Linked DNA regions of Kluyveromyces lactis. The protein of the gene in region 6 interacts with the protein of the main gene of each other region in a biochemical or structural test. Links are inferred from orthologs where the notes say so. Each region holds a gene or a part of one and is shown on either strand. Other genes may lie near its edges.

Evidence for each region.
Region 1: the proteins of PSF1 (region 6) and MCM5 form a complex in vitro, tested with the Saccharomyces cerevisiae proteins (2 studies listed by BioGRID). The link is inferred for Kluyveromyces lactis from reciprocal best matches to the Saccharomyces cerevisiae genes PSF1 and MCM5.
Region 2: the proteins of PSF1 (region 6) and MCM4 form a complex in vitro, tested with the Saccharomyces cerevisiae proteins (2 studies listed by BioGRID). The link is inferred for Kluyveromyces lactis from reciprocal best matches to the Saccharomyces cerevisiae genes PSF1 and MCM4.
Region 3: the proteins of PSF1 (region 6) and MCM6 form a complex in vitro, tested with the Saccharomyces cerevisiae proteins (2 studies listed by BioGRID). The link is inferred for Kluyveromyces lactis from reciprocal best matches to the Saccharomyces cerevisiae genes PSF1 and MCM6.
Region 4: the proteins of PSF1 (region 6) and MCM2 form a complex in vitro, tested with the Saccharomyces cerevisiae proteins (2 studies listed by BioGRID). The link is inferred for Kluyveromyces lactis from reciprocal best matches to the Saccharomyces cerevisiae genes PSF1 and MCM2.
Region 5: the proteins of PSF1 (region 6) and DPB11 form a complex in vitro, tested with the Saccharomyces cerevisiae proteins (2 studies listed by BioGRID). The link is inferred for Kluyveromyces lactis from reciprocal best matches to the Saccharomyces cerevisiae genes PSF1 and DPB11.
Region 7: the proteins of PSF1 (region 6) and CTF4 form a complex in vitro, tested with the Saccharomyces cerevisiae proteins (4 studies listed by BioGRID, with this or other methods). The link is inferred for Kluyveromyces lactis from reciprocal best matches to the Saccharomyces cerevisiae genes PSF1 and CTF4.

The regions. Positions count from the first base shown.
Region 1 is NC_006040.1:778,954-783,013, reverse strand, and holds MCM5 (MCM DNA helicase complex subunit MCM5), read right to left. Parts: upstream 2,742-4,060; coding exon 501-2,741; downstream 1-500. Other genes in the region: mRNA splicing protein SMD2, read right to left, coding at 1-158. UniProt on the Saccharomyces cerevisiae protein: Acts as a component of the MCM2-7 complex (MCM complex) which is the putative replicative helicase essential for 'once per cell cycle' DNA replication initiation and elongation in eukaryotic cells.
Region 2 is NC_006039.1:1,537,586-1,541,824, forward strand, and holds MCM4 (MCM DNA helicase complex subunit MCM4), read right to left. Parts: upstream 2,801-4,239; coding exon 122-2,800; downstream 1-121. Other genes in the region: mannose-ethanolamine phosphotransferase GPI13, read left to right, coding at 3,382-4,239. UniProt on the Saccharomyces cerevisiae protein: Acts as a component of the MCM2-7 complex (MCM complex) which is the putative replicative helicase essential for 'once per cell cycle' DNA replication initiation and elongation in eukaryotic cells.
Region 3 is NC_006042.1:935,830-939,953, forward strand, and holds the start of MCM6 (MCM DNA helicase complex subunit MCM6), read right to left. Parts: upstream 2,801-4,124; coding exon 1-2,800. Other genes in the region: KLLA0_F10109g (C2H2-type zinc finger protein), read right to left, coding at 3,366-4,124. UniProt on the Saccharomyces cerevisiae protein: Acts as a component of the MCM2-7 complex (MCM complex) which is the putative replicative helicase essential for 'once per cell cycle' DNA replication initiation and elongation in eukaryotic cells.
Region 4 is NC_006042.1:1,165,544-1,169,807, reverse strand, and holds MCM2 (MCM DNA helicase complex subunit MCM2), read left to right. Parts: upstream 1-1,464; coding exon 1,465-4,098; downstream 4,099-4,264. Other genes in the region: KLLA0_F12606g (uncharacterized protein), read right to left, coding at 1-728. UniProt on the Saccharomyces cerevisiae protein: Acts as a component of the MCM2-7 complex (MCM complex) which is the putative replicative helicase essential for 'once per cell cycle' DNA replication initiation and elongation in eukaryotic cells.
Region 5 is NC_006042.1:1,325,362-1,329,059, forward strand, and holds DPB11 (protein kinase activating protein DPB11), read right to left. Parts: upstream 2,511-3,698; coding exon 501-2,510; downstream 1-500. Other genes in the region: GWT1 (glucosaminyl-phosphotidylinositol O-acyltransferase), read right to left, coding at 1-195; SIP4 (Sip4p), read left to right, coding at 3,564-3,698. UniProt on the Saccharomyces cerevisiae protein: Has a role in the initiation of DNA replication. Required at S-phase checkpoint. Required for the association of PSF1 with origins. Also required for the proper activation of RAD53 in response to DNA damage and replication blocks.
Region 6 is NC_006038.1:615,935-618,465, reverse strand, and holds PSF1 (DNA replication protein PSF1), read right to left. Parts: upstream 1,137-2,531; coding exon 501-1,136; downstream 1-500. Other genes in the region: protein-arginine omega-N methyltransferase HMT1, read right to left, coding at 1-98; RAD61 (Rad61p), read left to right, coding at 1,395-2,531. UniProt on the Saccharomyces cerevisiae protein: Required for DNA replication. Functions as part of the GINS complex which plays an essential role in the initiation of DNA replication by binding to DNA replication origins and facilitating the assembly of the DNA replication machinery.
Region 7 is NC_006038.1:972,859-977,092, reverse strand, and holds the start of CTF4 (chromatin-binding protein CTF4), read left to right. Parts: upstream 1-1,434; coding exon 1,435-4,234. Other genes in the region: Golgi transport complex subunit COG2, read right to left, coding at 128-841. UniProt on the Saccharomyces cerevisiae protein: Accessory factor for DNA replication. It plays a role in accurately duplicating the genome in vivo.

The DNA.
Region 1 (4,060 bases), on a different chromosome or scaffold from region 6:
TTCCTTAGTGATATTATAACAGGTGTCCTCTGTAGCATTGATTCCCTGATTAGAGACATGGGTCCATATTTCATTTCGAATTCTTCTAGTTGTGTTAGCTCGTCTCTAGATAGTTCAGACCTTGAAAGGTCTGTCTTTGGAATATATGTATCGGCCATCGTGTTTTAGGTCAATTTTCTAGTATATGTAACAGACAAATCCTGAAGATAAGTCCTTGGCTTATGATATTTGCAATCTCGTAAGTTTGTGATAACTTGTCCTGATTGCCATATGATATGAGAGGTTCCTTCTTTGGTCATCTCATCATCTCATCCTGTGCATCAAACCCAATATACCATCCAGTTGTTTTCTTTCGGATTATCCAATTATCATTATCATTATCCGGGTAATCTTACACTATATAAATATCAACACATAGTCGCTGAAATTCCTTATACACAGTGGTACATATGAGTTATAGACAATGTTCAAGGAGGGGTTCCTGAATTTCATTTGCAACTTCATACTCCACTTCTATAAATATTCTGACCTTGATGTCTTAGTTGAATAGAATCATGTCTTTCTAACAGGTATAACGCCTTATCTAGCGCATATTGGGGAAGTTTCTTGTTCACAACGAATTCCCTTTGCAAAGTTTTGTAACTTGTAGACCATCCTATTGGCAACCTTCTTTTCAATTCAGATTCGATTCTTCTAATTTGTGAGAGCATTGTTGTATCATTTTCCTGGGAGTTGATAGGATCCTGAGAGGCAGCATCCATCGTAGAAGCTTGGAATAATCTAATGGCTTCATCAACATGTTTTTCGGTCGCTACTGGATTCAGTTCTAATTTAGCTAAAGATTCTGTGATACGAATTATGGCTTCTAATTGACGAACTGTGATTGGAATGGAAGACCTCTCATTGGAATGTCTTTCGGACTCTTGTAATTGTTTTCTAATAGTGATGAAATGAGAAGATAATTTTGTGGCTGCTTCAGGAGATAACCTGGGGGCACATTTTAACCTACAGTAACTAACATATCTCTTCATAGTTTCTATTGGAATTTCGTTGTTGGAGTTGGAATTATCATTTGGATCGTTTTGTTGAGTTCTTCCTGTGTGAATGTTCATGACGTGGTTCGCAATTTGGATATCTCTAGCTTCATTGTGATCATCTTTAACAATGAAGATCATATCGAATCTGGACAAGATGGTAGTTTGGAAATCAATGTTTTCACCCGGTGATTTCAAATCATCATATCTACCGTAAACAGGGTTTGCTGCAGCTAAGACACTAGTTCTAGAATTCAAAACGGTAGTGATACCGGCTTTAGCAATGGAAATAGTTTGTTGTTCCATGGCTTCATGGATGGCAACACGGTCCTCGTCTCTCATCTTGTCAAATTCGTCAATACAGACAACACCACCATCAGCAAGCACCATTGCACCTCCTTCTAGGTAAAATTCCCGTGTAGTTGGATCTCTTTGGACACTTGCCGTCAAACCAGCTGCAGAAGAACCTTTACCAGATGTATATACCGAAATCGGAGAAACTTTTTCCACAAATTTCAACAGTTGGGATTTTGCAGTACCAGGATCACCAAGCAGTAGCACGTTGATATCACCTCTTAGTCTCATACCATCTGGTAACAATTTCTTCGATCCGCCCATAAGGAGACAAACGATGGCTTTCTTGATATCAGTGTTACCATAGATACTGGGAGCAATTGAGTTGGCGAAAAGTTCATATAGATCTGGTCGTTGGGAAAGCTCCAAAAATTCTTGTTCTTCACTTTCCGAAAACATAGATAGAGAATTGTTTAACGGATTATTTGATAGGTGTTTGATCCCGATAACTTTCACGTAAGGGTTTCTGATCGCCACAGCTTTATTTCCAGAACTATTAATACTCTTATTCTTGGATTGGTAGATGGAATAAATACCAATAATGGTAACTCTTGTTCCTGGAACAACTTGGTTGGTCAAATATCTATCACATGTCATTAGTAAATTTCTAGGCAATTCACCAATTGGCACGGATTCCGGTAATTCTTGTAGTTTCAAAAACTGTTGGTCAATAAACTGTGACGATTCGTGTACGATTAAATATGGGTCAGGGCCACAAGAAGCTGCTGTTTCATCTGTTTCGTTGGAACGATCTGCAAGACACTCACGAGGTAACTGGACGTTATTGTTATTCAAATTCTGGAAATTGTTCAACTTCAAAGTTGTCATATGTTTACAGCTTCTACACATTAGCGATAACTGAGTGGCTCTTGATGTCAAGACACTGGATGAGATGATGATCCCTGTAATTCTGACGATCTTAGAAACGTGATCCGAATCCAAACTTCTTAATGGAATTTCCATAGAACTGGAATTTAAAATGAGCTGACATAGTGGGAAGTTCGACAACGCTGTCTCTGGATCAATATCAGAATCTTGCGATAACAAAACAATTCTCTTTGCCACTTGAGTTATTGCTTGTTCGAACAACGGGATAATATCTATCGGTTCATCCTGTAATTTTTTGTATAGATCTTCATTATATCCAATAAGATGCTCCGTATTCACGTCAAGGAAGTATTTATGAACCAACAGGTTATTTCTCAGTTGTTCTCTGTAAACGAAGTTGGAATCTAGTCTGAATTCCAGTATGAAACTCTTAAAAGATTTGATAATCTCTGAATTTTCATTGGAAGACAGTTCTTCACCTGCCAACACTCTAGTGGTATGGATCTCTGGTTTATCAAACGACATGGCCTGTCTTCAATTGACTTGTTGCCCTTGAAATTGTATAATACCTATCTCAGCAGTTTACTTAGAAACACAGACATGTAATACGGATACTCTTTAAGATGTATGATGTTTGTTGTAATTTAAGTCGCGATTGAATCCGGATATTCAAAACAGAATAAAATTCCAAATCAAAAAAAAAAAAAGCTTGATCTTCGCTTAACCTAATACGGAAAAGTAATTGATCGAACCGAAAGAAAAATAAATATGAAACAACACTTCTCAACACGTGACCCGGAAGGTTAAAATGCGGTTTTCTTTTTGCCTTGAGGGATTCAATTTAGGTGACGACGCGTTGCTCGAACAACCAACTGCACCGAATAAGGAAAGTCAATAAGGGTGCATTGCTTTCGTGGTTTGTTCTGATCTTAGAAATCGGAGAAACTTCGCTACACAGAATAACCGCTGAAATGTAATGAAAAATTCCTGCCACCTTACCAAAAGCGGCAAAAGGCCAAGCCAGGATAACTTAGCTATCTAGCAAAATCAAGCGTACTGATTTTTCAAGCCGTTCTTTAATCGGTCAAAAATGAAAGATGCAAAAAATCCGGTATTCAGCCATATTGGTGAAGAGGGGCAAGAGGAGACTGAATCCCGACTAAATTTTTCTACGACTTGAACTGAGTGAAACGGCTAGGAAAAACCTCATGATCGGTCACCAGACCAACAGCTGTTACAACAATATAAAGGTGGAGAGTAAATGTCACAAGAATGTTCTTAGAATTACTACAGACGAATCACTTTGCCTGTGCTTTCAACCGCACTGCAAAAAATGTTGAATGCATTCATCACAATTCAAGCCGCCAAAATCATTGAAAAATTATGGAAGCATTCTAGTCAGAAAATTTTTCTTTGATTTTGGGATTAGGAAATCATTGATTGAGCATTAGGTAAAAAATTTCAAGTCTGTTATTCATTTGTCCGCGCATCATCAGCTCCCTCTCTCTCTCCCAGTGTGTTCCTGATCTGATTCAGCACTAGACTCACCCGGCTTAGCGCCCTTATTAACCCCGTGTTGAGCTTGTGCGAACAGCCTGCAGAATATCATACGATTTAATGTTAACTACACTATGGGGAAAAAGCAAATTAGAAAAAAAGAAAAACAAGAAAAAAAATAGGCGCACGTCTAGAAAGTAATCGCGCTCATACACGCCTTACATGTAGATATCCCTCGCTCTTGCCACCCCATGCTTTATTATTAGCCATTCCAGTAAGATGAATCCAGCACTGAAACGTCAGTATCGAGCATTCAGTCATTGCCATGGCTAGAACTAGCTCTCAAA
Region 2 (4,239 bases), on a different chromosome or scaffold from region 6:
GATGATATATACACAGAACGTATGTATATAAGCAGAACATGCGGAAGGTCGTTATTCTCATTTAGCCCTTTGCAAACTATGTAGAGGCTTTCTCAGAAAAACTAGACTTGATAATATCTATTCATACACGGCCATTCAAACGAATTGATCTTCTTAGACCTTCTCCTAAGATTACTACCTTGTCTTCTTGTTGCAATCTTGTCAAAGCGTTTGATAATTCGATACTCTCCACTTTATCTTGCGATTGTTCGTTTATAAGCTTGCTTAGTTCGTTGAAACTTATTGTGTCTGTTGTCCTTTCTGTCAATATCTTTAAAATTTCTCTCGCCAAGTCTTCAAGCAATTTTCTTTGCACAACCGATTTACCAGTTTGTACAAGGTTCATATCAATTTTACCAGTTTTAGGATCCGTAGCGTAATCTTTGATGGCAGACTTTATCAGTCTCACTGCTTCTTCCACATCTTCAAGTTCAACTCTTTCACTTAACCTCATCTTAGCATGAGCTTCTGAAAGTCTAATCATACTTTCTAACTGTCTTGTTGTTGCGGTAATTCTTTTTTCATCTGATCTACTGTCATCACCCATCTTTCTCATACCGACATATGCCCTCACAAGTTCAGTCTTGGCTGACTCAGTTATTACCGGGTGAATGTTTTGTTTTGCATAGTTGATGTAGGCTGTCAAGAATTCAACTGGTAGAATATCACCTTGAGATACAGAATCCGGTCTGTCTTCCAGGTATAAACTGGTTAAATGCTTAGCGAGTTCACGATCAGACGCTTCGTTGACCTTGTCAAGCACTAGATAAACGAGATCAAATCTTGATAATAATGGAGGCGGCAAATCAATATTTTCAGTCACAGGAAGATTAGGATTGTACCTAGAGTTGATAGGATTGGCACTAGCCAGAATTGAAGTTCTAGCATTTAAAGTTGTAATAATACCTGCTTTTGCAATAGAGATTGTTTGTTGTTCCATAACTTCATGTAATACTGATCTAGTATTATCGTTCATCTTATCAAATTCATCAATACAACACACACCACCGTCAGAGAGAACTAAAGCACCACTTTCCAACACCAGTTGCTTAGTATCCACATCTCTTGTAACATAAGCAGTTAAACCAACAGCAGAGGAACCCTTACCCGAAGTGTAAACACCACGAGGAGCAATCTTATGAACATATTGTAAAATTTGAGATTTAGAGGTCGAAGGATCACCACATAGTAGAATATTAATGTCACCTCTATATCTTCCACCTTTCTTGAAAGTTTTATTAGCACCACCAAAGAGTTGTAATAAGATTCCCTTCTTGACGTCATCTAACTCGTAAATACTTGGTGCGATGGAACGTGACAAAACATCATAGACATCCGATCGGCGAGCAGTTTCTTTGATCCTCCTAATGTCTTCGCTACTCAAAGTTCTAATCTCTTCCACATTATCAATCTGGTTCTGCAAGAGTTGTTGTTCAACAGTAGAAGTGTCCACACCGACTCTATCTTTAGCCACCTTTTGGATATGAACCACATCGATGTATGTCTTGTATAGAGATTTGAGGGCTCTTTGCTTTGGATTCGACCTGATTGGAATAGATCTAAAGATACCTGAAACCTCAATTCTATCACCAGCACGACACGAATCAACCAGCTCATCATATACACATAGGGAAACAGAGTGTGGAGTTTGTCCATCAGGGACTAGATCAGGCGTTTCTTGTAACTTTATCACTTGTCTGTCTTGGAAAGTGCACCTATTGTGAACTAAAACCATGGAGTTTGGGCTATTACAGACCACTCTGGGACATCTCACTGGTTCTTGAATAATACCACGATCGATCTCAACTTCTACAGTATGATTGCATACGTTACATTTGAAAAATGCAACACTCATATCTGGGATAATAGGTGTGGATCTTAGAACTAAACCTTTGATACTCACCAATTTATCAATATCATTAGGATTAAGCTCTCTCATACCCTTTTTGGTTTCCACATTATATGGTCTCACTTTGAACAACTTCGATTCAATTTCATTCAAGTAACTCTCTAACCCATTATCAAGTGCTAAGGATACCATACAATCTTTAACAGTTTGATCCATAATAGCTATAATTTCTTGAGGGTAATAGAGAATCTGATGAAACAACTTTTCAGTATGTTTATAAGCCAGTAAATTTCTGATATCAAGGTTCAAGTTTGAAGTACCGAGTTGTCTCATTTGATTCAATTGATTCACATAATACAGCTCTTGGTCTGTTGTTTCGTTGATGAAAATCTCCTGATCATCTAGCTCCTTTCTATATTTCAACTTGAAAGACATCAAAAATTCTCTGAAACTGTTACCACACTCTTGGATCGAAACATTGGTACCCCAGATGATCTTCAAAGGTTGATCAGCAGCTTCAGATGCAGGTCTCGATGATGATGAAAATCCATTATCCGATGAGGAAAGGTTATTGAAAGTGACAATTCTTCTGGGAGATGATAAGTCAGATGCATTAATTTCGCCTCTTCTAGATCTAGAGTGTCTTCCCTCTCTTGCACTTGAGGATAGAGAGGATGAATAGTTCAATAGATCAGATCTCAAATTGTTAGATCTTAAACCACTGCTACTAGGAGCGGCGCGAGCCGTCTCTTGCGTGGCATTTGACGAAGACGAAGGATAGTGAAACGGAGAAGAGCCTACGCCTCGGTCTTGAGATGCCTGGGAATCCTGTGTACCATGAGGAGCTGGAGAAGAGCTAGGATCATAAAACAAATTTGGTGAACTTGGTTGTTGAGCTGGAGGTGAGGACATAATATTGTTAACCGTTTGTCTTCCTGTGTTCTATGGATATATACTGCCACTATTATCCAAATGCTAATTCAGCAATTTTATCAAACCTACTAAGCAGCTAAATAATCCTAGGTTCCCTGATATATCACCTTTCAATTGATAATGTTATCTTGTTTGAGATGCTTTGAGTGAACTAAGTGAAACTCGTTAAGATTTTACACATTTTTGGTTACATAGTTACATTTCCTAAAGAAGAAAACAGAACAAATTGAAATAAACAAGGTTCTAATGAGCCCTTGCCACCGTTGATAATACCATGGATCCACTCAGCTCAATGGTCAGTATCTTCGCCGATCAGAATTGGAGTTGCATTATTTGAAGAGGGAACAATGATCACGTGATGTACAATTGTTCTGTTTTAAAAGAAATTAACCTTTAAAATGAAATAAAGTGGTAACAAGAACTCTGTCAGAGGCGAGAGATAAGCGAACCACTTTCGCCAGTGTGACTCAATTCTTCTGCACAATATCATTATTCAACGTGAATTTATTGTACTTTCGTTTAGTTGTGTTTTTGTCCCGTTTGGAAACTGGTAAGAAGTGATGAATCCCACTGTTAGTGATGAACGAGATCGGGCAGAGAGAATTAGACTCAGCATAATGGGGCCTCAAACGAGGTCCAGTCGAATGAGCTATCGGATATCAAGGTTCAAGTCTACGCACACTCTGTACATACTATTACTTGCTTCTTTGGCTGTATTGCAGTTTATTTCCATAGCATTTTTCGCAAAAGGGTTCCTTTTAACAAGGACGGTGTTGGATAACGTTGCAGAACTTGATCCCCAGCTTCCCTTCGAAGCTAAATACGATAAGATGGTTTTACTAATAGTGGACGCATTGAGGTTTGATTTCGTTATTCCAGTAGATGAAAATCATGCCAAGTACAACCCTAATTATCATAACAATTTGAAAGTTCTTTATGAGACGGCCCATAACTCAACGGATTCTGTCTTGTTGAAGTTTTTGGCTGATCCTCCCACAACTACGCTACAAAGATTAAAGGGATTGACAACAGGTTCCTTGCCTACATTTATAGATGCAGGATCGAATTTCAATGGTGATGTGATCGATGAGGATAACTTAATAAAACAGCTTTATCTGCATAACAAGAAAATATTCTTTGCCGGTGATGACACTTGGGATGCCCTATTTAATCCGTATTTGGCTCCAGAAAGTGTACCATATGAATCCTTGAACGTTTGGGATTTAGACACAGTCGATAATGGGGTTATTTCTTACTTAGAGGAGTATTATTTCAATGAAGAGAAACGGTCTGAATACGATATCTTGATCGGACATATGTTAGGAGTTGATCATGTCGGACATAAGTACGGTCCTAATCATTTTACCATGAAGGAAAAACAGCTTCAAGTTGATGAGCTATTGCGGAAAATTATAAGC
Region 3 (4,124 bases), on a different chromosome or scaffold from region 6:
TTTCTTTCTGTTGTAAATACCAATCTACTATCTCAGTTTTTGTCATTTCAGGTTCTTCATTCTTTTCTCTGTCAACCACTTTCCGTACAATTAGATTCATCATTTCCACGTATTTATCATATGATATTGCGACTTTATGTGTTGTGTGATGAGCGTTGTCATGAGACTCTACGTCAGGACCACCCCCCGTTTCGGAGTCGGCGTTCAGTGGTTGAGAAGGTGACTGAGATTGTGTATCAAGTGTTTCGCCGAAGTGTTGTGTGGCAGGTATTGTGCCCTCACCCTCCGTACTTTCTTCTGGGGAGTTATCGTCATCTTCAATTTCAACGTCATCAACATCAACACGGATGATACTCTGTCTCAACAAATCGTACGCCTCAGCGACAAAGCTCGGAACAATTTCATCCACGCAATTAGCACGAGCAATAGCTTCACTTAATCTGATTAATGATTCCAGTTGTCTGACAGTTATACGGTACGAAGATTTACTGTACCCCTGCGCATCGTCTTTCCTTAGTTCTGTATATCTTTTGACTAGGTAGTCACGAGCTTCTTTAGTCATTACCGGCTTGAAAGTCTTGGCATAGTTGATATAACGACTCAATTGTTCTGCTGAGAATGGTGGATTAATAGCAGAGTCCCTCTTCATGTGCAAGTCTACGATGTGGGAAGCTAGCTCAGTATCGATCTTCTCATTGCAATCATCAAGAATGACAAAGAATAAATCGAATCTGGACATAATTGGTGCAGACATGTTCAAATTAGATCTTAAAGTCAGTTTCCTATTGTACCTACCGCCGACGGGATTAGCGGCAGCCAAAATTGAAGTTCTGGCATTTAATGTTGCATGAATACCAGCTTTGGCAATCGAAATGGTTTGCTGTTCCATGGCTTCATGAATAGCAACTTGATCTGCGATATCCATCTTGTCAAATTCGTCGATACAACAAACACCATTATCTGCCAACATTAACGCACCAGCTTCAATAGTGAAATCACCACCTTCTTCATCTTTCACCACAGCTGCAGTCAAACCAGCCGCTGAAGATGCTTTACCGGAAGTATAAACGGCTCTTGGAGAGAAGTTACAGACGTATTTTAGGAATTGAGATTTTGAGGTGGACGGATCACCAACGATACAAATATTAATGTCACCTCTCAATTTAATGCCTTCTACAGTAGTTTTATGAACACCGCTAAGCATTTGTAAAAGGATACCTTTCTTAATGGTTTCATGCCCGAAAACTGCTGGTGCAATCGATTTCACCAGTTTGTCATAAATATTCTCATCTTTCACCATCTCTTTTAATTCATTAATTTCGTCAGAATCAAGCCTTGTTAGGAAAATTTCTTGATCAGTTTCTGCCGCCATTTCATAGTTTTGATAGTTTCTCAAGTTAATATAATCAAATTTGGATGTCTTATCGGCGTCCTCCTCATTAATCCTACTACCATTGAAACTGGTACCAACATTTTCAACATGGCATGCCAAAAACGATATTTTGTAAGTTAAATCTCTAACACCTAATGATTTGAGCCCAGAAATACCTGAGTTCAATCCTTCCGTTGTCCGTGAGATACCTCTAGAATCTGGAGTCGAACTTGCTTTAACACCAGGCAAACCAAGTTGACTAACGTCTGGAACGACAATTTCAGTACCAATAAATTTACATCTATCACCTGGTTTAGCTCTTTCGACACAGTCACCACGAAGAATAATATCTAAGGTTCTTGGCATAGAACCGGATGGAATTTCATTGGAATTTTCTTGAATTCTTACCTTTTGCCAATCCAAGAATTTGGACCTGTTCACGTTTAATGACCAGAAAGATTGGTTCTCACATGTTGGATTTGGACAAGAGGTTGGTTCAGTGTACTTGAAAACTTGTTCCACATTGTCAATAACAGCTCGACACAATTCGCATGTAAAACTGGCTTTGTATAATTCTGGTCTAATTTCCGAAGTTCTCGTGACTGTGCCTGAAATAGCCATTAAAGAACCAATCTTATTAGCCCTAATATCTCTGATTCTATGGACAGTTGGGAGATTCAGGAAACTGATTTGCAAAACACGTTCAACCTGATCTGGATTAGTGGCAATGGTAGATGGGGCAGTGCCTCCTGCGGTGGCAGCCTGCGAAGTTGGCAAAGATGAATCTATTCTTTGCGAAGAGCGGTCCTGAGAATTCTCTTGAGATTGAGAAGGAAGTACAGAGTCAGATGTTAATAATAATCCAGGAGCGTACTTCTTCACCACATTTCTTAGCCCAGATAAAAGGAATGGCAAAAATCTGTAATACTGTTGTAAAATAGCAACCGCTAAAGCTCCGTCTTCCACCTCGGCCAAATGTTTATAGTCAACGTATATGGTATTCAATTCGTACCATCTCATATATTCAATTTGGACTCTATAAACCTTCTCCATCTCACCTGTTTCATCATTGAGGGCGGTGAAATTTGACAAGAAATGTTCGAATGCCTCTCTTACAGTTTCACCAGTTTTATCATCAACCTTTTTGATGGCATTCAAGTTTTTCTGCCTGATCCCGGCTAATGGAGTAATTTCTTGTGAATCATTTTCCATAGCCTCTATTTGTGATTCTGAATTAATGCCTTGCCTAGTGTCATCAGTACCGAAATGTCTATTTCCATCTGACACTCCTCTGGAAGAAGATGGAAACTGGGGAGTTCTGTTTCCTAACGACTGATCATCGAATTGTGAACTATCATAAGCACCTACACTAGAGGGAGGCTGGGATGATTGCTGACCATGTTGAAAAGGACTTGATGGTGCCGACATTGTTGCTGATTTTTTCAGCTTGCTCCAACTATGTCCGGTTTTGGATGAGCCGTTCAACCTGGATGCCCTTCACATTGAAGATCATGTTTTAAGTGTTTCAACATGTAAAATCATTTTTTTAATTTCTGAGTTAAGGCGATTCAATATTACTTTTCCTAAAGAGGTATTGCAAGTATCCAAAATTAGTTAACTGAGGTATAACACGAGGAAAACCATTGACTATCGACCATAACATATCGATAACCAATGCAGCAAAGTTCAATTTAATGGAATTTTTTCTTTTTGATTCGATAGGGAGAAGATAAAACATCGGTGAATTGATAATAAAAATTAATGATACGTAGGTAAGAATTCATCTTATTTAAGCGATATAAGTATATGGACGCGAGGATTTTAGAAAGCTGGCCAGGGATAAAATAGCCCCCCTGACAGTCAGTTGCATTAATGGTGAAGTGAAAATGAATCTAAAATCGAAAGAAAAGAAAAAAATGTAACCAGATAAAATAAACCGAAAATGTTAATGTGGACATAGGTCCACTGAAAAGCCGAATGGAAAAAGATTCAATCATTCTTGGTAATTGTAAGTATAATTGAAAAAGTTCATGAATTGCTGAGTTTCTCTGAAGTGCCTCTCACCCAGAGCGTACTCATTCATTTGTCTTTGTAAAGTAGTATTAATCTTAGGTTCATTCGAGTTATTCGTGAATTTCACTTCTTCTTCCATAGACATGCCTGCTTGCTCGATGTCGAGGGGGAGTACTTCCCAATCAGGATTTATTTGTGACTTTTGATCGGTAGATATGAAGTTCATTTCTTTATGGAGAACAGTATGTTCATGGGAGGATTGGGATGAGATAGACCGTACGGTGTCCAAAGCTGCATCTTCAACTGGTGATTTGTTCAATGAGGAGAATTCATCGAATGGTTGTGTACATTTGCGTAAATGAGTAGCTGTATTTTGAGATCCCGAATGAGGTATTAGTTGTGGTTGTCCTGTGAAGGGGACAGAGTTCGAGGGAGCGAGAGATGGGACACCGTTGCCATACACTTGGTTTTCGAAATGACCGTAATTCTGATTGTCGTTATGTTCATTGATATTTCCATTGATATTTCCATTGTAGTTTAGTGGTATTGAAGCCAGAGCAAAAGTGTTATCCAAAGCCAGGTCAGATATGGTTTGTTTGATGGGCGGGGAGGCAGAAGCCGGTTTAGAATACTCACTCGATAACTTCTTCCTATTTTCTGGCATGAAGTTGCTGATAGGCACCTTGGCTTCGCTGATAGTTGCTTGGTTGGAAATGAAACGTGACTGTCCATCAGAGGT
Region 4 (4,264 bases), on a different chromosome or scaffold from region 6:
GAAGAGTTTTCCATTTCTTCTAGCCCTCTTTTCTTGGTACTTTCCAATGTCATTCCCTCGGAGTTCTGATCCGATACCAGATCTCTCCTGTACACTTTATGTGCTATGATTTTATCACACGCTTCGTGTGATAAAAGCTTTTCAAATATCGAGCTGTACTTGTCAATACAAACCCATGAGATAAATCCTTCGAAACTTGACAGTTCAGGGAATCCTGGTAGCTTTCTGTCTTCTGTAACCGGGTCTGGGTTTTCTTCTATCCCTAGAATGCAGTGATCATGAAACCAGTCCTCATTGCACTCCAAGCCAAGGACGCATTGTAACATCGTTGTCGTTGTATTCGGGTCATACTCTCTATGGCAAGAGCAAAATAACCCTTTGAAATTCTGGCCATACCTGTTACTCATGTCTGGTATATCTGGTGTAGTATTCTTTCTTATATTACAAGGTGTGAACTTCTCACCGTGTTCAAACTGCCTTTCTGTACCGCAATCGCAACTGAAATTCCTCTTATCGAAAAGTTCCACCAAGTCACAGGTACTGTGACACTGAATAGAGCATGAATAGCACACTCCTATACTGTTGCAAGTACGACATGCGAATATTGGCTGTCGAATTGGGCCCATGGAATAAGTGCAATGGCTTGGATCATATGGCATCAGTTTATTTGCTTCATCTTCCAGTTCCTCCTGTCGCTTCACATATTCTTTAACGCTAATCTCGCTCATTCCCTAACACCAACAAGACTATCTTTAAGTGCCAGAACTCACCTTGTAGTAAGAAATGCGTGAATGAAGGTACCCTTTTTGCCTTTAACTTGACGTGTTCCTTATGTTTAAATTTGGGGATATTTCATTGATAGTAAGAGATTTTCCATGTCGATGAATCAATATTCCGTATGATTTTACGTCAATATCGACACATTTGGACGGTTACCGGATGGAAATCGATCTAATATGGGGCACAAAATGCATCACATCATTCCAGAGCTTCAACATCCATACTTTACCTGCAATTGTGTTGCTTCATCGTGTGATTGGAGCTATAAGTACGGTTTTTAAGCGTATGATCCCATGTGATTATCACGTGATCCACGCATCATAATAAAGAAATTATACTAATCAAATGTAGATTGCAAAGCTAAAAGAGGTGAGAACTACCGATTGGTGTTATTGGAATATTGCCATTGCTGTATTATTAGCCCCAACGCTCTACAATGGTCAGATCGTTGCAAAACACCATTTTAGGAAATGTTATTGTTTCAATTAAAGATCATTTTCGTACATTCAACTGAAGAAAAAAGCCGGAAAAAACGTTAAGATCTTAAGATAGCTTTAGATCCCAATGGTCTGAAACAAAGTGTAACAAGTAGGTCATCGAAGCATCAGGAAGACAATTGTGTGATCGGATTTGGTAGTGCGATAATTGAAGATTATTAATTGCTGTTTTTGAAAGTGTTTCAAGATGTCTGATAATGATGAAATAAATAACGGAAGGAGGAGAAGAAGAAGAGCTGATGATGATGAGGATGAGGATGATTCTTTGTCTACACAACCCCGTGAAGGTGGCGCTAACATCCCTAGTTCTCCACAGTTTGAAGACCCGCTTGGATCTCCAGATGAGATAGATTTTGAGAATCCAGATAACGATGGAGATGAAGCTGTCAATGTTCAAGAGGATCTTGAAGATGTGGAAGAAAGAATGAATGAAGTCGATTTGATGGGTGATGATATGTACCGTGATTACGCTTCAAACACAGAACATGATACGTATGAAAGAAGAGGAGTCGACGACCAGGAGCAGCAAGAGTTGTCGCTCGCTGAGCGTAGAAGAATCGATGCACAATTGAACGAGAGAGATCGTTTGGTGCATAGGAACACAGCATACCTTGATGATGATGATGGCGAAGGAGCTGGTGCGCATAATTTGGATGCTATGGGTCTTCCAGTACAGAGGAGACGTAGAAGACGTCAATACGAAGAAGCAGATGATGATTTGTTATCAGATATGGATATAGATCCGTTGGCAGATGAGCTCTCGTTGGAATCTTTGGCAGATGTGAAGGCATCAAGTTATTCTGAATGGATCACTCAACCGAATGTATCACGTACTATTGCCAGAGAGTTGAAATCGTTTTTGCTTGAATATACTGATGAGTCAGGTAAATCCGTTTACGGTGCTCGTATCAGAACTCTCGGTGAAATGAACTCTGAATCCTTGGAAGTTAATTATAGACATTTGGTAGAATCCAAGGCCATTCTAGCCCTATTTTTAGCCAAATCTCCCGAAGAAATGTTGAAAATATTTGATACAGTGGCTATGGAAGCTACACAACTACACTATCCCGATTATACTCGTATTCACTCGGAAATTCACGTAAGAATCTCGGATTTCCCTAGTATATTGAACTTACGTGCTTTACGTGAAACTCATTTGAATTCTTTAGTTAGAGTTAGTGGTGTCGTGACAAGAAGAACTGGTGTCTTCCCACAACTTAAATACGTTAAATTCAACTGTTTGAAATGTGGTGCCACACTTGGGCCTTACTATCAGGATTCAAATGAAGAAATTAAAATCTCGTTCTGCACAAATTGTAGATCTAAGGGTCCCTTCAGAATTAATATGGAAAAAACTCTGTACCGTAATTACCAAAGAATCACCATCCAAGAATCACCAGGGTCTGTTCCAGCCGGTAGATTACCACGTCACAGAGAAGTCATTTTGTTGTGGGACTTGGTTGATATCGCAAAACCTGGTGAAGAAGTCGAAGTGACAGGAATCTATAAGAACACATATGACGGTAATTTGAATGCAAAGAACGGGTTCCCCGTTTTCGCAACAGTACTGGAAGCCAATTCAGTGAAGAGAAGAGAAGGCGGATTGCATGATGGTGATGAACACGAAGGGCTGGATGCCTTCAGTTGGACAGAAGACGAAGAGCGTGAATTCAGAAAGATGTCTCGTGACAGAGGAATCATCGATAAAATCATTTCATCAATGGCTCCATCTATTTATGGGCACAGGGATATCAAGACAGCAATTGCATGTTCTTTATTCGGAGGTGTTCCTAAAAACATTAACGGTAAGCATTCCATCCGTGGTGACATAAACATTCTACTTCTCGGTGATCCAGGTACTGCCAAGTCCCAAATTTTGAAATACGTGGAAAAAACTGCCAACAGAGCTGTCTTCGCTACAGGTCAAGGTGCTTCTGCAGTCGGTTTGACAGCTTCTGTCAGGAAGGACCAAATAACTAAAGAGTGGACTCTTGAAGGTGGTGCGTTAGTGCTTGCGGATAAGGGTGTTTGTTTGATTGATGAATTCGATAAGATGAACGATCAGGATCGTACTTCTATTCACGAAGCAATGGAACAGCAAAGTATATCCATCTCTAAGGCAGGTATCGTTACCACGTTACAAGCCAGATGCTCTATTTTAGCTGCCGCCAACCCGATCGGTGGTCGTTACAACTCTACTCTTCCGTTATCACAAAATGTCAATTTGACTGAACCAATTTTGTCAAGATTCGATATCCTCTGCGTGGTAAGAGATTTGGTTGATGAAGAAAGTGATAATCGGCTAGCATCTTTCGTCGTTGATTCACATATCAGGTCTCATCCAGACAAGGATCTGGATGATTTTGATGATGGTAACGTTCCAACGGAAAATCCTAATGGGGAGGGTGATGAAGAAACTCCGTTATCTGCCAAACAAAGACGCTTGCAGAACCTTCGTAAAAGAGAAGAAGAAATTTCGCCCATATCTCAGCATATGCTAATGAAGTATATTCATTACGCAAGAACTAAAGTTTACCCTAAGTTACATCAAATGGATATGGACAAAGTGAGTAGGGTTTATGCTGATTTGAGACGAGAGAGTGTCACTACTGGTTCATTCCCGATCACCGTTCGTCATTTGGAATCTATCTTAAGAATTGCTGAAGCCTTCGCGAAAATGAGATTATCAGAATTCGTTTCCTCATGGGATTTAGACAGAGCAATTAAAGTAACAGTGGACAGTTTTGTGGGTGCACAAAAGATTAGTGTACGTCGCCAACTACAAAGATCTTTCGCTGTTTATACTATGGGAACAATGTGAAATCAAGATTCAACATTTCCAACGGAAGAAAACAATTCTATAAGCTCAGAACAACAATATACCGTTCCCATTTTTTCCATTATAGATGCAGTACTACATCGCTTATATTAGCATAATATACAAATTTGTAACTAATAGACTTAAATAATGATTACTTCAACCTTCA
Region 5 (3,698 bases), on a different chromosome or scaffold from region 6:
CCAATTCAATAAGAAATCTAACCAGAAGGAGTCCCGGTAGCTGGGATTGTTCGAAACGACGTAGATCCAAGCGGCGTTAGAAAAAATACCGGCTAATGTGACATCTCGTAAATCTGCAATTGAACTTCCGGAGTGTCCGGTAACGAAAGCTTCCTTCCGGTGTTTCAATTCATCAATTACACCAGAAGCATCCATGGTCTGATATCCCCGAGCCTGTATACGTTTCTTGTACTTACTTCCTTTATTGAACCTTCATTGATCTAGAGCTTAATAAACAGGTAGAATGACACTTGTCAATATTTTCACTTTTAAAGGAAGCATGCACAGAAGAGTAAATCTGGAATATAGGTTCAGACACGTAAAAATGACACACATTTAGGAGTTAGAGGCACTTCTAAGCAGAATAAGAATGTTAATGATCTTGTTACAGATAATATCCGAATGGATATGTATACATATATACATACATATATATGGCGTGACGTAATAATACATGAGATTTATGAAACATGAGAAATGATGTCTTTAGCTTGGCTTCTGGTAGAAATCTTCCTTCTTTTCAAATTCTGCTGCACAGATGTCGACGTTGATGCTGATCCGTACGTGATCTGAGTATGCGAAAGATGGTCACTATCATGACCTACAGTTTGGATAAAGCTTGATTCCTCATTCTCTGTATCTACATTATTTGAAAGAAGTTTCCCCCAACGGTTCCCTCTATTTGGAACATGAGGTAGTTCTGCTGATGCAGAAGAGGCAGTTGACAGAGGTGCCGCAATATCAACAGGAGCGGGTTTCTCTAGCAAAGGATCCTCGTTTCCTCTTTCCTTTGGAATTATTTGTAGTGCAAAGTCAGATTTAGAACCCTTGGGACAAGAAATACACCAATTAACGTCATTAAAGTAGATGTTCATGGAAGTCTTATTAGGTTTCATTGCTCTTTGGAAGAGTTCAATGACAAAACTTGGAGTTAGGATGGGAATATGATGAGCTTGCTTAACGAATTCAATTTTCCGTTTCATTGAATTTCTAAACATTTGAGCTTGATTTACAGAGATCTTCATATCCAAATCTGTCCTGAACATTGACGCGTACTTATTTTGCCTTAAAGTATGTTCCTGTGGTATTGAAGTCAATTGGGAGATGTTAACGAGTAAGAAATCCGTCTTCTTCGTCAATTTCTCATGATGGTCAAAACCAATCAACTTCAAAAAGTCTATAATTTTATTGATGTGTAGTAATTCCACGCCATGGAACCCTGTGATATGGAAGGAAAGTTTAGGGCCATGTAACACCGATTTAGGTGGAATGATATTGAAATCGTTGTAGAAAGGTTTTGACCAAAAATCCGGAGGTAGGAGTTGTTCGTAATACAAACATCGTTCGATGAAGAATTCTGTCAACCACGATGATTCATTTGGGATTCTCGGCAGTAGATTTGCCGGAAATCCACTTGGACAGATATAATAAATGGTCTTATCCTTCAGCTGTGCCGGTGACGGTGATGTATCCTCGAAGAGGGAAGACGTTCCTTTATTACCGCGAATGACATTAGATAAGATAGTAACCTGTCTTTTTTCGAACTTGAATAGCACGAAGTGACAGTCCAGGAAGGTCGGTGTATCCTTTGTCTCACCAAGGCATTCTTGATGCGTTGGGGTGGCTTCCTTAATATCAGTGGACTTTGACGCTGAAGCATCACCATCTCTTGCCAATAGTTTCCCCCATATCTGATTCGCTTGAGGCTTAAATTTATCTATAGCAATCTTCAACGGATTCACCGAATCATCTTGTACACCCATGGGATTTGGTTCAGTTACAGATTTTTTCTTATCTGGAACGTCACGAATGTACGAACCAGAACCAATGTCAGAGTATTCAAGTTCATGACAATTTTTCAACAGGTAGAAAGATTGAAAGTCTAGAGTCCCTGATCTGTCCATACAATCAATGATCCATTTTGGATGCACTACGGGAACGTTCTCTTCTAAAGCAGCCTGGACACGGTTCCCCGATAAATCATCGGTAATAAACAACGAAATGCATGCATTGGATGACGAAGAGTTCCTAATGAAATGCGTGGTATCTACCGATTTCACTTTACCCAATTTACACAACTGAACCAACGACTCAAGAGAATAATGGTTATTAGGTCGTATTCTGCCAATGAACAAGTTAAATTTTTCAAACGACCCGATAGAGTACTTCGATTTTAAGTACTGGGACATATCGAATTTAGCCAACTGCAACAGATCTTCTCCTGCGAGCCACGCATCGTACAACTGATCAACGGATCCCGGACTAACAAACACGATATCAGTTCTATTCTTGACAGCAAAGTTATACTTTGCGGTGAATAACTCTCCAACAACCAATACGTTGACTAGTCTTGTCAAATCCTTGGTATAAGTCCCACCGAGTTTTGTCACTTTATGTGAGATGGTATCAGAAACCGACAACGGGAGAGACGTAGGACAGAACACCAGTCCTTGAAATGGTTTGCCGGACATGTTTGCTCTACTTCAGGGAGAATTGAGGAAGAAGAAGAAGAAGAAGAAGAAGCTATCTACACCTTTGTTCCAGCTTTTTAGACACATCATCACCATTCATATGTGAAGGAAGGAAGGATGGATTGGATATCTGTGTAAATACGCGTTTATGTGTGGAAAATAATAAACAGAGAAGAGTTGTAAAATGACATTTGTTTACAGGTCACGTGGACGAAAAACACAAGCTACCCAGGGTTACCCTGAGAAAACGAAAACCAAAACCAAAAATTAAACACTAACCACGTGACTACAGCGAATCTCCCCCTTCCGGCGCCCCCCCCGTCGAGTCATCATCCTTGTCAGCAACCGTCCAGCTGACTCATATATCTGTCACATGTGAAATTGCAAGAAGCAGGCAAACATCGCCACCCATACACCATTCGGACTTGTGACTTCTCCCCGTTAGCCTTTCATCCGGACAAATCCTTTCAGGTCCTTACTCTCCCTACGATAAACCGATATAACTGCACAAATTTTTTTGCTGACTACACGGAAAACCGCGCCTAGAACCGCTTTTTTTGTCCCCAAAACTTCCTTTCCCCAGATCCGGCTGAAAGGGACAATTGCAAAACTGGAATTACACACTACTAACGCATATTAATTAGCCCTCTTATATAGTCTATAGCATACCGAATACTGAATAATATGTCCAACGTCACTTGTGGAAATGTCACAAATGTCAGTTTCTGGGATCCATCAATTAAGGGAAATTCTTCAAACGTCCCAGCTATCTCGGTTATCTCATTGGTTTATTCTCTTGGCTTGTTAAAAGGTAGTTTCTTCTTGCCTTAGTTTCTTGAATTAGATTTCTCGAGGGTTTTTATAGCCAAATATTATTATTATTATTCATGATTCTGAATCAGATATATAAGACAAACGGACCTGGGGAAACGTTCTGCCATATAACCATGAACCGGAAGGTTTATGGTAGGTATCAGATGTTTTTTTTTCTGTTTGGAACGTAAGCTTGCTATAAGCTTCCTGTAGTAGCGCCAAGTATATGTATATATCACTATGCCAAGTGTTTCGCAGGATGATGTAAAGGGCGTGCTTGCTGGTAAGATGTCTACTGGTAATAGCAGTGATGACAGTAGCAGTCAGTCAGGTAAGAAGCGTAAATATGGGAAAGTCGACAAACACAATGAGAAG
Region 6 (2,531 bases):
TGAATACCGAAATGGTCATAAGAGGTGAAATAGTGTTGTTCATACTCGTTCAATTCTTTTTTCTGCGTAGCAGAATCAGTGACATCAGTCTTGGACATCCTTTATTTTATTAGCTTTACAATTAGGAAAGATATGCTCAACAATTAGACTAAAGATGAAACACAAGTCTTGGTATATGTATGGTGACAAATATTATATCCCAATAAGCTGTACACTATACTCAATGCAATCAAACCAATAACCGTTCTAACAAGTTGGTTCCAGATCAAGTACTGTTCTGTTACTTATGCCTCGTTGCCTTAAATACAAAACTGAAAAATTTTTGAAGGCGATGAGCTGCAAGAAAAAGAAATCCAAAAAGAAATCGTGCATTCCCCATAGTGAAAGTGAGGTAAAGCTAGTTAGTTGCATTTGGAACGGTTGCATCAGCAATATCACCAGCAATGATATCTACAGAATTGCAATGAAAGGTGCAGAATTCGGCGAAAAAAGCTGCCTTGCTATATCTTCTGCAGATATCCTTGTTGTATAAGTCTTTCGACGTCGGATTGTCTGACGAAAAATTGGGAATCTTTAATCAGGTTGAATACACCGTACTCTGTTTCTATTTGTCCTGCATCTTTCAATACTCGTACGTCGATGAACACATCGCTCGGCGGTTGTAACATCCCAGTCAAATCGATTTCTGAGAGTTCTCCCGATTTCAATTCGGTAAGTAGTTGTGCATACTCTTTGAGATACTCTTGTTCTGCATGTGATAAAACAGAGGAATCAAACGATGATAGATTCGGGTGGTTTGATATGGCAGAAGAAAATTCCATCCCGTTGTTATCCCAAACCATTGAGTCTAGCATCTCACTTCTCATCTTTTGGTATGCTAATAGACATCTTTTGTTTCTTTCCATCGAAAGCATAGCAACGACGTACTGGCATTGAGCGACTTTGTTATCCTGATCAGTAAGCTGCTGTTCTCGTAGGTAATCCACGTTCTTCTTGAGGGATCCAACCTCTTTCAGGATGCCACGGACTAGCTCGTCTTGATATACTGGTAATTGCTGTTTGTTGAATCCAGCTTGAGATAACTGTTGCGTTCTCTTTGCTTCTAGTATCAACTTGTTAGCGAGATCTCCGTACATTTTCGGTACTATGGCAATGATAATCAAAACCAATGACTTGAATCCAGTTCCAGGTCTTTTAGCACGTTCTTTTCCCTCTGTGTTATCTCTGTAAAAGTTGTTCATAGCTTTTCTCTTCTCTAGATTGAAATCGCTTTGAGGAAAACACGTAAAATTTAAGGACTTTAACGTGAAACGATACTGTTTAGACGCGAACAAATTACAACAAAGAAAACAAGGGGAAGCAAACCAACAAAGCCCATTGGGAGGTTCTGATAAATGAAGACGAGAGTTTATGGTCACTATGGGAAATTTCAAGCCTTGGCGAGGCGACATTTGAATAAAAAAGACAATGAGTTAAGCGATGAGGACAATTTCACTTCAACTGACGAGGAAGAAACAAGTTTATCAACAGATTTAGATAGAACTTATGAGACTTCTCCCATGGCTCCTGTCAGAGAAGAGTATGTGTCTTCCTCTCATAAATACGAGTCATTTGAAAACCGTGATTCAAAGACAATTGAAGCTGATCCATTCGATATTTTGGATGGTATGGGGTCGACATCTATGAAGAAGAAACGTAAAGTGACAAGGCTTCATAAACGAATAACAGTCGACAATGACGATATGAAAGATGTTGAAGAAGCTGTTGATAATGATTCTGAGATTCATGAGTTTCAAAGTACAATTGACAGTATCTCCTCGATGATTTCGTCATTGAAAGACTCCGACGATGTAATATCGACTTATAGCCAAATTCAATGTCTTAAAGTGGTCTCCACTTCAGCAGTGAGCCAGGTGAGATACGGAAGAACACGTACATTATTGAAAAAAGAGTTTCAAAGTGATGAAGAGCTACAAGAAGAAGCATCAAATGTCGATGAGGATGATGAAAATAATGAAGGTATTTTGGATGCTCAACATCACAATACTTCTTTTAATGATTCCAATTCCGTCATTCACGTTAATCAATTAAAAACACTCGGAGAAGGGCTTAAGTTCGAAGATGATCTGGATTTCTTACCATTCACTACTAGTGATGAAAAGTTATTTGTCGTAAAACTGATTAGCTGTTGTTTACTATTACTCAACAATACAGAGTTGACAAGTTATACTCAAAAGTATAAAAGCAATGAAGTATGGAACTGGTTTTTGCAGCAAATTAACCCTGAGAACAATGTCATGAGTTATTTACAACTTTGGATTGCTAATTTAGTACCACTGCCGCGAAGTGCCCCTCAATGGCAACAGTTATCACCTCTCCTAATGACTTGTTCCTCTCTTACAGAAAATCCAAAACTTATTGAGGGTTCAAAGATTACGAAATTAAACTACACGGATTTTGTTCAGCGGGCTGAAACAAATCCCCAAGATCTCACATTTACACTATGGGAGTTTCACCTAGACCCAAACAGT
Region 7 (4,234 bases), about 360 kb from region 6:
GATGAGATGAGGCTCAAAGTCAGAGATGTTATACACATTTACGTAAGGATACTCATAGCGTAGACTCGCTTCCACCTAGGGGGTGGAATCTCACTTTATTTGAATTGGGTTCGCATTTATCATATATTTAAGTTTTTATGGTTTGAGTTTGCTGGTTCTGCTTCTCGAGAACGGGTTTAATTAAAGGCTTTGCGGTCTCGAGAATACTTTTAAAGTCGTTTCTCATTCGAGTAATTAGGGTGGAATCATTGTCTTCCAAATGTCTAAATCTGTAGTCACAACGTATTAGTATAGTAGAGAGCTGCTTTGCCACTGTGAAGGAAAGCTCGTCGTCGATATTCAGCTGCACCATAGACTGTAAGGATGATACAAGTTGCTGGCATATCTTTAGCGATTCTGATAGCTTTGTGATATCGTCCAGTTTACCAAATAGGTTATCAAGCGATTTTAGGTAGGATAATGCTGTTACTGTTTTTTCTCTAGTTTCAGCCACTGAGGAATCACAAAGTTGGAGTAATTGCTTGTTGAACTGTTGTAGATCATTCAAGACTTGTTTTAACTTATTCAACACCTCGTTATTGTCACTAGTATTAAACCTGTCACATATTTCCATGTACTCGGGATAATTGTCATTGATTTCATCCAGTATAGTTTGTTCCATTGATTGCTTCAAGGCAGATACTTCATATGAGAGTTCGTCTAACGATACGTATTGGAAGTTATTCTCAAGTAATAGCTTATCTATATCTAAGCAGCCATTCTTCCGTACAAAATTGGAAACTAACTCTCTGCTTAGTTCTTTAGTTACTGGTAGATCCAAATCATCATTTAGGTCGGTCATCGCTGGGTGAGAGTAGTTTCACACAGTACTTTCCCTCTCTTTTCGCTCTTGTTCCGTTTTTCTGGTAATGATCGTTCGAATATAAGGATCGATTCGTACCTTTAAATATCTTGAACGCTGAATAGAATTGATAGTTAGAAAAATACATGTATATAACAAGGGCAAAGACCGATACATGTGTTTGAATGGGTAGTTTTCGGAACACACTTACTAAACTGATGGTGCAATACAGATGAATAAGGGTGATATGATTACTGCGCATCACGTGACTAATTTTCCTTAAGATAAGTAAATCTATAATCAAGAATGTTTAGATACTTTTGGTCCAATACCTCATCCTTACCTTGTGGCAATTGCATGCACTGCACTGTCACTACTATAACAGTGTCAACTAATACTTGATGGTGCTAGTTCTGTGTTTCATTTCTGTCTTCTTAGCTAACGTGTATTTTTAACAGAAAAAACGCGTCTTGGTGATTTAACAAGTAGAAGATGAGACACAACTTGCTTGAAATCTATAAGATGCACTGAAAAAAGCTCAGTTCTCAGTATATTAGTGAATAGTTTCCTTCAGACATACCCAGAAACATCCAATGGCAATTAAACTAACTGAAAATAGGGTATTTGTTGCTGGTGGGAACACCCAGGCACGGTTGAGTAGTGACAGTTCTCGACTTTTCACTTTAAATAAGAACGCATTGGTGAAAGTTCTTAATTTAACTGATCTTGAGAAGGAACCTGATATCATTGATATTTGTGAAGAACCAAGCGCATTTGTTTTGAGTCAAAATTCAGCTGATGGTTTATATGTTGTTTCCCGCAATGGCGACCTATACTGGTACAATGTACTGGAAAACAAGAACAAGTTATGCTTTAGATCCTCGTTACCATTGCGTGATTTGGCCTTAGTTCATGATGATAAAGTATGTGTTGTAGGTGGGGATGATTTAGAAATGACATTGGTTGCATTAGAAGAGGGAAATTCAAACGTTAAATTAACTTTGGACGAACAACTGGTTAGTTTATCATACAACAAACAAAATAACATTCTAGCAGTATCACTCAGTAACGGTAACGTTGTATTCTACTCTTTAAGTTCTACTACACCCAATAGAATCCACACATTGCATGATCAGCTACCTAAGATATTCTTCAATGATGATCTACCAGCGGACACTGAGAATAATACTGAAAACGCCGATTCAGTCGCTATAGATGGACTTGATCCTATGCTATGCGAAGATAACAGAACATGCACTAGAGTTGCATGGACCAATAAAGGAGACCAATATGCAATTCCAGCAAAAGATAGTGTCATTAAGTTATTTAAATTATCAGATCATGATTTGGTGACCTCGTTCAAGCCAAGTGTGCACGTTAACAACTGGGACGCACTTACAATAGACCAAATTCATTCAAACACAATCGCTGCAGTCGGTAATTCCAACCAAAATTCTCATCTATTTATTTGGAATTTAAGTACTGGTACACAGCTTGTTCACGAAAGCTTTAGGTATAGTATCACTTCTTTGTCTTGGAGAGTAAACGATCAGAGAACCAAACTTAGCTTGGTAGCAGGTACTTGGTCGGGCGATGTTATCACGTTCAATGACATTGTTTCAGTAAATACTACAGTTGCTTATTCAAATACCGGTGGTAAGCTTTTTGTTGGCTCTGATGATGAAAAGTTATTTGACGATAGTGACATAGATGATTTATCTAAACAAACAAGCAACGGTCCTGAGTTCTACGAGCCTTCCAAGAATGATAATAACAGAAGATCGAAATATGAAAACAACGACAAAGCTGATGACAAAGGTGAGGTTAGTGAAGATATAAACTCTGACAACCTTTTCACAGATGCAGAAATGGATCAACATGAACCTAAGCGTACATACAATTTCGAGAATGAAGATGATTTTATTGAGGATGATAATGGCGAGGCCGCACAATATAAGAGACCAAAAACTCATGTTCAATCAATTCCTTCTTTGACAGCTAATCATGTAAATCATCGCAGAATTTACCAACCACCAGCTCAATTCCAATACCGACCATTTTCAACAGGCGCGACACCTTTCGGGAATAGCGATAAAAGATACCTTACTATAAACCAACTAGGTCATGTATGGACAACAAGAAATGAAGGCGGTAGCAATTCTATAACGGTCTCTTTTTTCGATGTTAGTCGATTCCGTGAGTATCATTTCGACGATTTATTCAAATATGACCTTTGTTCACTGACCGATGAAGGTATACTATTGGGCCAGTCGAAGATGGGTCAAATTCAATACAAGCCACATAGTCCCTCTGGAGATTCATGGACTAAAAAGATTCCCTTACTTTCCAAAGAAAGAGTTACTTCAATTGCCTGTACTCCTAAACGTGTAATTGTAGGAACATCTCTCGGATATCTTCGTACTTATAACGATTTTGGGTTACCACTGGCAATAGAAAAAATGTCACCTATTGTTGCTTTGTCTGCTCATGAGTACAAAGTGTTCACCATTCATTACTCACAATATCATGGTATTACTTACTCGATGTTCCAACAACATCCGCAAACTGGCAATAAATACTTCCAAAGAGAATCTCCCTTACCAATAACGTTGCCTCAACAGAATCAGCCGGGAAATGATGATGAAGACATTGAATTTTTAAAATACGATGATATTTTCAATTCATTCAACCCCCTAGGTATCAAATCCTTATTCTTCTCAAGCTTTGGTGATCCGTGTATGTTTGGTCATGATAATGTTTTGTTAATTCTGTCCAAATGGAGAAGTGGTAGTGACGCGAGATGGGTACCCATAGTTGATACCAATTTAGAACTTTGGAAGATGTCAGGGGGTAAGCATCCGAAGAACGTCCACGTTTGGCCATTAGGATTAAACTTCGATACATTTTCGTATTTATTATTGAAGGGGAAGAACGCATGGCCAGATATCCCAATGACCGTTCCTACAGAAATGGAAGTCAGAATCCCAGTTGTATCAAAATCCGAGCTTCAAAAGACACAAGACGATAATCGTAACGACAGCAGCGATGTGGAAGATATTGATAACAGTAATGGTGTCGAAATTCCAATGTACCTAGCAGCAGAAGAGGAATTTCTACGCTCCAAGATACTAAGTGATTTACTAAAAGACACGATGGATAATGAAGGTGAGATATACGGAAATGAAACAGATCTATTACAGCATCTGGTAGCAACACATGATAAGTCCTTACTACGACTTTTAGCTTATGTCTGTTCCGAGCAAGATGTTAACAAGGCCGTTTCAATCGTCAACGAACTGAAGCAAGATAAGGCCCTATCTGCTGCAAGAAAAATTGCAGAAAGAGCTGAACTACTTCCACTAGTAAGAAAAATCAACACGATTATTGAGGCCA